Linked DNA regions of Macaca fascicularis. The protein of the gene in region 1 purifies or fractionates together with the protein of each later gene. This does not show direct contact. Links are inferred from orthologs where the notes say so. Each region holds a gene or a part of one and is shown on either strand. Other genes may lie near its edges.

The links. Proteins that work in one complex are often made in the same cells at the same time.
Region 2: the proteins of KMT5C (region 1) and CBX3 purify together in Homo sapiens (affinity purification with western blotting; 3 studies listed by BioGRID and IntAct, with this or other methods). This does not show direct contact. The link is inferred for Macaca fascicularis from reciprocal best matches to the Homo sapiens genes KMT5C and CBX3.

What each region holds. Positions count from the first base shown.
Region 1 is NC_088393.1:63,286,749-63,290,855, reverse strand, and holds the start of KMT5C (histone-lysine N-methyltransferase KMT5C), read right to left. Parts: upstream 2,801-4,107; 5' UTR 2,720-2,800; intron 859-2,719; exon of another isoform or gene 740-858; 5' UTR 716-739; coding exon 606-715; intron 438-605; coding exon 272-437; exon of another isoform or gene 55-271; coding exon of another isoform or gene 4-54; intron 1-3. UniProt on the Homo sapiens protein: Histone methyltransferase that specifically methylates monomethylated 'Lys-20' (H4K20me1) and dimethylated 'Lys-20' (H4K20me2) of histone H4 to produce respectively dimethylated 'Lys-20' (H4K20me2) and trimethylated 'Lys-20' (H4K20me3) and thus regulates transcription and maintenance of genome integrity.
Region 2 is NC_088377.1:104,102,943-104,107,089, forward strand, and holds the start of CBX3 (chromobox protein homolog 3), read right to left. Parts: upstream 2,801-4,147; 5' UTR 2,676-2,800; intron 2,488-2,675; exon of another isoform or gene 1,772-2,487; intron 1,257-1,771; 5' UTR 1,229-1,256; coding exon 1,205-1,228; intron 1-1,204. Other genes in the region: HNRNPA2B1 (heterogeneous nuclear ribonucleoproteins A2/B1), read left to right, coding at 3,667-3,672.

The sequences.
Region 1 (4,107 bases):
CACTGTGTGGTCTCGGGGGCCTCGTGTTCCCTCTCGGGGCCTCAGTTTCCTCATCCGTCAAATGAAGAGGTTGGAGTACATCTCAGAGGGCCCCCCCCAACTCTCCTCTCCTAGGATTCTCTGAGCCTTGCCTCAGATGGTCCCAAGGGCTAGGAAGTCAGGGGGCCCCAGGGGCTGCGCTGAGGGACTCTAGAGCGTCTGCCAGGCAGGACCAAGCCCGGTGAGCAGGGAGGACACGCGGTGAGGACGGGGGAGGGGAGGGCGCCCTCACGTGGGTCTTGAGGGCAGCCTCCTGCCGCGGGCCCCGGCTCTGGAAGTAGTGGGCCGTCCAGCCTCCCAGCGTCAGGGCCCGGTACGCAGCCTCCAGGTCCCGCTGCCTCAGGAAAGTTTCCAGCGCTGAGCGCAGGTGCTGCTGTCGCCGCAGTGGGGGCACAGGGCTGGGGGAGAGGGCATGCCTGGGTCCCAGGGCCTTCCCGGGCCCCGGCCCCAACCCCCACTTGGAGCTGAGGGGAGGACCAGACTGAGGAGAGGGCTGAGGGGCGGCAGTGGTGCAAGGGGAGGGGTCCTGACCGCTCGGGCCCGCCCTCGCCCCCAGGCCGCCTCACCTGACGTTCATCTTATGGGTGCGGAAACCGAGGTAGGGGTCCAGGACGAGGCTGGTGGCCAGGTCGTCGTTCTCGCACAGTTCTCGTGCTGTCACTCTGTCCGGCCCCATGGTGCCCTGCGGACCATGCTGCCTCTGTTAGAGAGCAGGAACAAGTGAGGGCAAGGCAGGCGCGGGGAGCCTGGCGTGGTGCTGACTCCACTCCTGAGCTACTCAGAAGCCGTGGGGGATGCTGGCGAGCCCCACAATCTCATCTGCAAAATGGGGAGAAAAGCAGTGCAGACTTCACCGGGCTGCTGGCGAAGATGGAACGCAAGAAGTACTTCTGAGAGTAGGGAAACCCCAGAGCCATGTCAGCCATCACCTTAGCATCTCTATCCCCTCTTGCTCTGCAGGGCAGACGCAGGCCCCCGTAAACACACAACCCCACGTGCACACGCACACGGGCACCAGGCACACCCATGCACATTCAGACTGACACACGCAGATGCCCCTGCCCATGTGCAGAGACCCCCCCACACACCCATCTCTGTGGGCCCAGGGAAGGCTGACTGACTGGCAGCCGGGATCACCCTAAAGGCTTAGCAAGGTGGGGAGCCGCTTCACCTCTAGCCCTCAAGGAGGAAAAGTCAAAGCTTCCCGCCAGCCCGAGGTCCCGCCCTCCACCCCCACCACGACCCAGCCTCGGTCTCCGCCCCCTGCCTCCCCGGCAGCCTTCGGGAGTGGTCAGGAGGCTCCGGGTGAAGCCCCAGGCAGCCTGGAGGCGGGTGAGGGGAGGGAGGGCAGGGGAGGGATCCCAGCACCTGCTCCCTCTCCAAGGATTCCAGGGGAGGGGGGCTCAGAGGACAAAAGCAGGGGTGGGGTGGGGAGCAAAGGAAGACTATGGGGAGGCAGCACAGGTCAACATTTACAAAAACATGTTTTTAAAGCGGAGCCAGGAGAGAATGGAGAGATGAAAGAAACCACCCAAACCCCTAACCCGGACGGAGGCCAGCCTCATCCCTGCACCAGGGCACCCCAGGCTCATCTGCGCCCGAGAGTGGAGGAGAAGGAGCGGGAGCTGCAGAGACGGCTGTAGAGGGGTCGGGGACAGACTGGGAGGCTGCAGAAGAGAAAGAGGGGGCGCTGCGGGAGGGCGCCAGGGACGGCGGGGAAGCTGGAGAGGGGACTGGGGGCAAGGACAGAAACGCACAGCGGTGGGCACGGCAGGAAGCCATGCGGGGCAGAAGGCTGCAGCCGGGCCTGGGGGCACTCAGAGGGGTGTGAGGAAGGGAAGGGGGTGCCAGGGAGGGCAGAGTGCGGGGAAAGGCCTAGGGACCCAGGGAGGAGCCAGACGGGAGACCTGGGTGGGGGGGCGACCCAGGGACGGTGGAGAAGATCCTGGGTGTCCAGTGAGGGGCCTGAGAGGGCCGACAGGGGCCTAGGGATCCAGACGGGGCTTGGTGGGGTCCTGGGGAATCCAGGAAAGGGAGACCCTAGGGAAGGGCCTGGGGGCCCAGGGAGGGGCCTGGGTGGGCGGTGAGAGCCCAGAGCAAGGGACCTGGAGGGTCAGAGGCCAACCTCAGGGTCCAGGGAGAGCCAGGAGAGGGGAAGAGGGGTTAGAGAGAGGTTCTAGGGCACAGAGAGACCTAGAGGGTCCAGGAGGAAGCCTGGAGGGTGAGAGGACGTCAGGGATTGGCCCTGGGGGTGCAGGTAGGGCCCAGGGGTGAGAGAGGGGTCAGGGAGAGGCCCTGAGGGTGCAGGAAGAGGCCTAGGGGTGCAGGGAGAAGCCTGGAGGGTGAGGTCAGGGAAAGGCCCTGGGGGGTGCAGGAGGAGGCCTGGGGGTGCAGGGAGAGGCCTGGAGAGTGACAGGAGGTCAGGGAGAGGCCCTGAGGATGCAGGGAGGGCTGTGGACGTAAGAAGGGGGTCAGGGCCCGGGTGAGGAAGCACAGGAAGGAGGCTGCGGTGCCGCGAAGCCCGAGGCCCGGCGAGGGGCCGGGAGACGTGGGTGCCTGGACACGAGGAGGGGCCGGGCGGGGTGGGGGGCAGTCGGGGCAGGGGGCGACTGGGAGCCAAGGCGGCGCGGGGCTGGGGCCGTGAAGGGGCTCAGAGATCGGGCCCCGCGCCGCCCCTCACCCGCTTCTCCTCCTCCTCCTCCTCCTCCTCAGGCGCCCGCGCCGCCGCCGCCAACACCTCCCACTGCCTCCTTCAGCTCTCGTCAAACACTGTCGCCGCACCTCCCATCTGTTCGCCGGGCCCGCCCCGCCAAGGCCACTGAAGTTTCTATTGGTCACGGCTACCGCCACTCCTCCGTTGCTACGAAGCTCCGGCGCTCCCATTGGTCAAGCCCCACTCTTTCCCCGCCCGGTCCTCCTCAGTACCCAGATAAAATCCCGCCACGCCCCCGCCACCGTCAAGCGCCGCGAACTGTTGTCAGTGGTTGACATCGCTGTCCCTCAGTCTCTCTCATAGCGACGTGTCCCGCCTCCTCTCCCACTGCGGCCTGAAATCGACGCACTCATTGGCCGAAAGCGCAGTCGCTCCGGGCGAAACTCGGGTTGGGTCGGGTTATTCAGGTCCAAGTGGAAAGAGGGCGGGCTCTGCCAGCACCAGCAGTCGTATATGACTGGCTGGCCTTGGGACAGCTCCTCTTTCCATTGGGTAAGGCATCCGTCCATCACCATAGAGTTGCGGCCTCCCTATTCTCTTTCTCCGAAGAGAGCTTCAGCCGCAGGAGGGAGAAAGCCGGAGCGGGCGGGAGGAAGGCGGTGACTGTGCGCGCACCGCCATCCCTCTCCCCTCCCGCGCCGCGAAGCCTGCGGTTACTAAGGCGACGAAACTTTATTGACAGCTCTGCCTGGCTACAAAGGGCTCTTCAGTCTCCCTCCCAGACCACTGTCTCTCTCCCTCCCTCCCCGTTTACACCGCTGCGTTTCGGGAGTATCCACAGCCACTCTGTGGGACCTTCCCGCGATATGAATGGGGTCGGATGGAGGGGAGGCTGAGGGAGGAGCGGGGGCTTTTGAGACAAGCCCTGACTCCTGGGGCGCTCCCCTGGGGCACCCCCTAATTGGGATCACCCCTTACCTCAATCCTGCAGGCAAACGTAACTAACAATTCATCATAATTACGCCCAGAATAATAAGCTCCGCACTCAGAACAGGCGGTCTTTGTTTGCTTGTTTGTTTGTTTCGCCACAGCCATCCTTCGCTTAACGACACTGATACCATCTGGGCAGTGTGTGTTCAGGCGATGTCGTCATCCTGCCAACATCCTAGAGCAACATCACTCACACCTACGTGGCAGGGCTGCGGGCACCTGGGCTGTAAAGTGGCCGGCGGCTCCTGGGCCACACAGCTGTGCGGCAGGTTACTGTCCGGTAACACAATGTAGGCGCTTGTGTGTCTACTCATAGAAAAAGTACCGTAAAAATTCGGTATTACAATTTTATAGGATCACTGTCAGACATGCGGTTCACCTGTATAGCTATAAATAGTGGGCCCTTAAAACAATGCATGGCACAG
Region 2 (4,147 bases), on another chromosome or scaffold:
TAAGGTTAAAAAAAAGAAAAAAAAAAGGGGCAGACAAAATACCATACAGTATTTACTACTATGGCATTCATAAGCTAGTTTCAAATGCTCACCATTTTCTTTTGTAGTATATGTTTGGCTTAACCCAGTACTTTTTTCCAAATGTGGATTTGAGTCAAAATAAATTTCCCATTATTTAAGTGAAATTAACAGTACATATATCTCACAACACTAATGAATTTTTAAAATGAAAAGTTAAAAAAAGTTTTAAAGTGGCCAACCTGTGATCCCTCACAAAATAAACTATTTAAATACCAATAAATAACAGACCCCAAAGAGTATCAATTGCATGCAAAAACAAATTCTGTTTTCCAGGGTATCTGACTTAACATAGAATCTAATGATGGCACAAATTAAAAATCACCAACGTGCCCTTTCTAGTGTGAAACCCAGAGAGAACATATACAGACCAAAAACAAATGCTTTACTTTACCTAGGAGACATTAACATTCACCTTTACGCGCTTAAGATTAATGCAATATGTTGAGAGTTAAATATTGTGAAAACTGTAACTTTGAATTTCATGATTTTTATGTGAATATTCCAAGGTTTTAAAAAACTTGTAACATGACATAGCTGAAGAAGATACAAAAAATCTAGCCTTTTCTCCCTTCTGGATCGTATTTGCTATTTCGATCATTTTTTTTAAAAAAAACAAAACACCGCAATGAATTGTATTCAAGATTCTTCTATATTTCAGAGTAAGTTAAAACAAGATAAAGTGACCAAAGCCATTTGAAAGATTCACTAACTTGCTCCAACCTAGGTGCACAAGGTACCTGGTTCTTCAAATTTGGCTTTAATGAAAATACTTCTCCAGAATTCTGGGGATTTAAGGAAAATTATGCCAACCAACAAGGGCTTTATTATTTTATGTAATATTTTGCAAAAACGTGGGTATTTCTATCTGAAGATAAAAATCCTCAGCAAAATCCACATTGCACTGTCCTTCAAAGATTAAACTAGTTAAGACGCTATTAAGTCAAGTCAGCAAGTATCTCCATGTAATGAATTCGTTTTGCTCCTAATTTTCCCCTATAATTATACTGGGAGAGCTGGGAAATATGTCGATGTAAATTTCTCAACCACAAAGATGCAAAGTTATACTTTGGGGGAAAAAACCTTGGGTTAAATCCTTACATACTTTAGCTTTTCATTAACTTACCAATGTAGTTTTATTGGAGGCCATTTTTTATTGCAGACTTGAAGAACTATTACTAGAAAAATGCATGACAGTTAAGAGAAGTTTGCACGACACAAAAAAGGTAACTAAATACAAGTTCTGTTTGGATTCCAACCCCCAAGTAGGGAGCGCACATTTCAAACGTTGATACAAATCCAGAGTAGATTTGCGCTCCTACCTACATTGCTTATGATGCACGTAAGTACGTGTTCTAAACATGTGAGTCTAGAAAGACTTTACTGGGGATCTTGGTACCTAAGGCAGCTTCACATGGCTTAACATAGGGGACAAATATCTTTTCTAATCTAAATCCCATTTGTAATCAAGTCCATGTTCCATTTTTAAAGGACAATCCTTTCGGTTTAAAACCATGCACGATTACCCAAACAACTCACAACTGTAAACCCCTGTGAATCTTCTCTGTTCTGCAATCCTAAGTTTGTTTCTGCTCAGAAACCCTCTCTTTTTCCAATCAGCAGTTAACTAACTAAAGGAAAAAACTTAACGATGCTTCAACCCCGTTTCGTGACACTTTGAAGACGCAATCACCTTTTGCACACACCCGCTCCCCCTCCGCCTCCGACCCTCTCCGCTGGAGCTCTGCGTCCCGAGGCCTAAGCGCAGCTGCCCGCCCCCACCCGGGAGCGCGGGCCTCGTGGTCAGCGCATCCGCAGGGAGAAACAAAGGCCGCGGCGCGGGGGCTCAAGGGCACTGCGCCACACGGCACGCGCCTACCCCCCGCGGCGGCCACGTTAACGGGACGGCCGCCGCAACCTCGGGACAGTCGGCCGCGCGCCGCCAGGCCTCGCGGACACGGGACCACGCGCCGCCCTCCCGGAGGCCCAAGTCTCGACCCAGCCCCGCGTGGCGGCTGGGGGAGGGGGCGCCTCCGCCGGAACGCTGGTGGGGGAGGGGAGGGAAAATGCGCTTTGTCTCGAAATAGGGCGACCGTCGCCACAGCTCCCTACCCCCTCGAGGACCGAACAGTCCCCCCACTAACTGCCGGCGCCGGCCCCGAGCCAGGTCAGCCGCGAGGCCACCGCCCGACCCTCTCCACTCCTTCCCGCAGCTCCCGGCGCGGTGTCCGGCAAGGAAGGGAGGGGAGCGGAGAAGCGGGCCCCCGGGGCGCGTGCAGCATCTGATGCACCACCACCGAGCGAGGGCTAGAGAGAAGGAAAACCACCGACTTCACCGCCTCTGAGCTGCTCCGGGTCGCGGGTCTGCAGCGTCTCCGGCCTTGCGCGCCTACAGCTCGAGCCACATCCGAGGGGTGAGGGAGCCGGGAGCTGTGCGCGGGGCCGCCGGGGGGGGGAGGGGTGGCACCGCCCACGCCGGGCGGCCACGAAGGGCGGGGCAGCGGGCGCGCGCCCGGCGGGGGGGAGGGGCCGCGCGCCGCACCCGCTGGGAATTGGGGCCCTAGGGGGAGGGCGGCTGCGAAGACCGCGGCACTTACCGTTCGCCCCGTGGCGCCTGGTGGTCCCCAAGGGGAGGGAGGGGGGAGGAGGGGCGAGGACGGTAACCGGAGTCTCCTCAGCGGTGGCTTTTCTGCTTTGCAGCCTCAGTGCTGGCGCCAAAACCGGACTCCGCCCACTTCCTCGCCCCTGCGGTGCGAGGGTGCGGAATCCTCCAAACGCTTGGGGAGAGAGAGTTGGGAGCTTAAAAACTAGTACCCCTTTGGGACCACTTTCAGCAGAGACCCCTCCTGTACCCCAGGGGTCAGCTGCATAGACGCGGGTCAGGGTTAGGTCAGTGTGGCGTGAACGATAATTTGACTAGAAGTTGATTCGGGTGTTTCCGGAAGGGGCCGAGTCAATCCGCCGAGTTGGGACACGAAAAACGAAAAGGGAAGGCTCATATTATACTACGATTTTTCTGGCGGGGGTTATCAAAGGCGTAGCTGCAGGGACCACCTCCCAGGTTGAGAGGGCTGGAACTCCGGGCTCCGGATTAAGCTCCTCCCGTCGGCGTTAATTTCAAACTGCGCGACCGTTTCTCACCTGCCTTGCGCCAAGGCCGGGGGCGGGACCCTATTCCGAGAGGTAGTAACTCGCGGGACTCGAGCCTTCCGCAATTCACTGAGCGCATTTACGGAAGTAACGTCGGGCACTGTCGCTGGCCACAGGAGGGGGAGGAGTACGCATTTGGCGTAAGGAGGGGCGTAGAGCCTTCCCGCCATTGGCGGCGGTTAGGGCGTTTACGCAACGGCCTGACGTAGAGGAAGACGCGTTAGTGGGGGGGAAGGTTCTAGAAAAGCGGCGGCAGCGGCTCTAGCGGCAGTAGCAGCAGCGCCGGGTCCCGTGCGGAGGTACTCCTAGCGGTGTTGTTTCTCGAGGAGAGGCAGTTCTCACTACAGCGCCAGGACGAGTCCGGTTCGTGTTCGTCCGCGGAGATCTCTCTCATCTCGCTCGGCTGCGGGAAATCGGGCTGAAGCGACTGAGTCCGCGATGGAGGTAACGGGTTTGAAATCAATGAGTTATTGGAAAGGGCATGGCGAGGCCGTTGGCCCCCTTGTGGAAGTCGGCCGGCCGCCTCCGTGGGAGAGCGGCAGGAAATCGGACCGCTTCAGTAGCAGTGGGGCTTGAGGTTTATGAACGGGGTCTTGACCGGAGGCCTGAGCGTACAAACAAGCTTCCCCACCCTCGGCCTCCCGGCGCCATTTCCCTTCACTGGGGGTGGGGGATGGGGAGCTTTCACATGGCGGACGCTGCCCCGCTGGAGTGAAAGTGGGGCGCGGAGGCGGGAATTCTTATTCCCTTTTTAAAGCACGATGCTTTGGGGGCCACGGCGTCTCCGCGGCGAGTGTTTCGGCGGGCAGCGGGTACCCGTGAGCGAGGCTGCGGAGCTTCCCCTCCCCCTCTCTCCCGGGAACCGGATTTGGCGGCCGCCATTTTCATGGCTCGCCTTCCTCTCAGCGTTTTTCTTTTA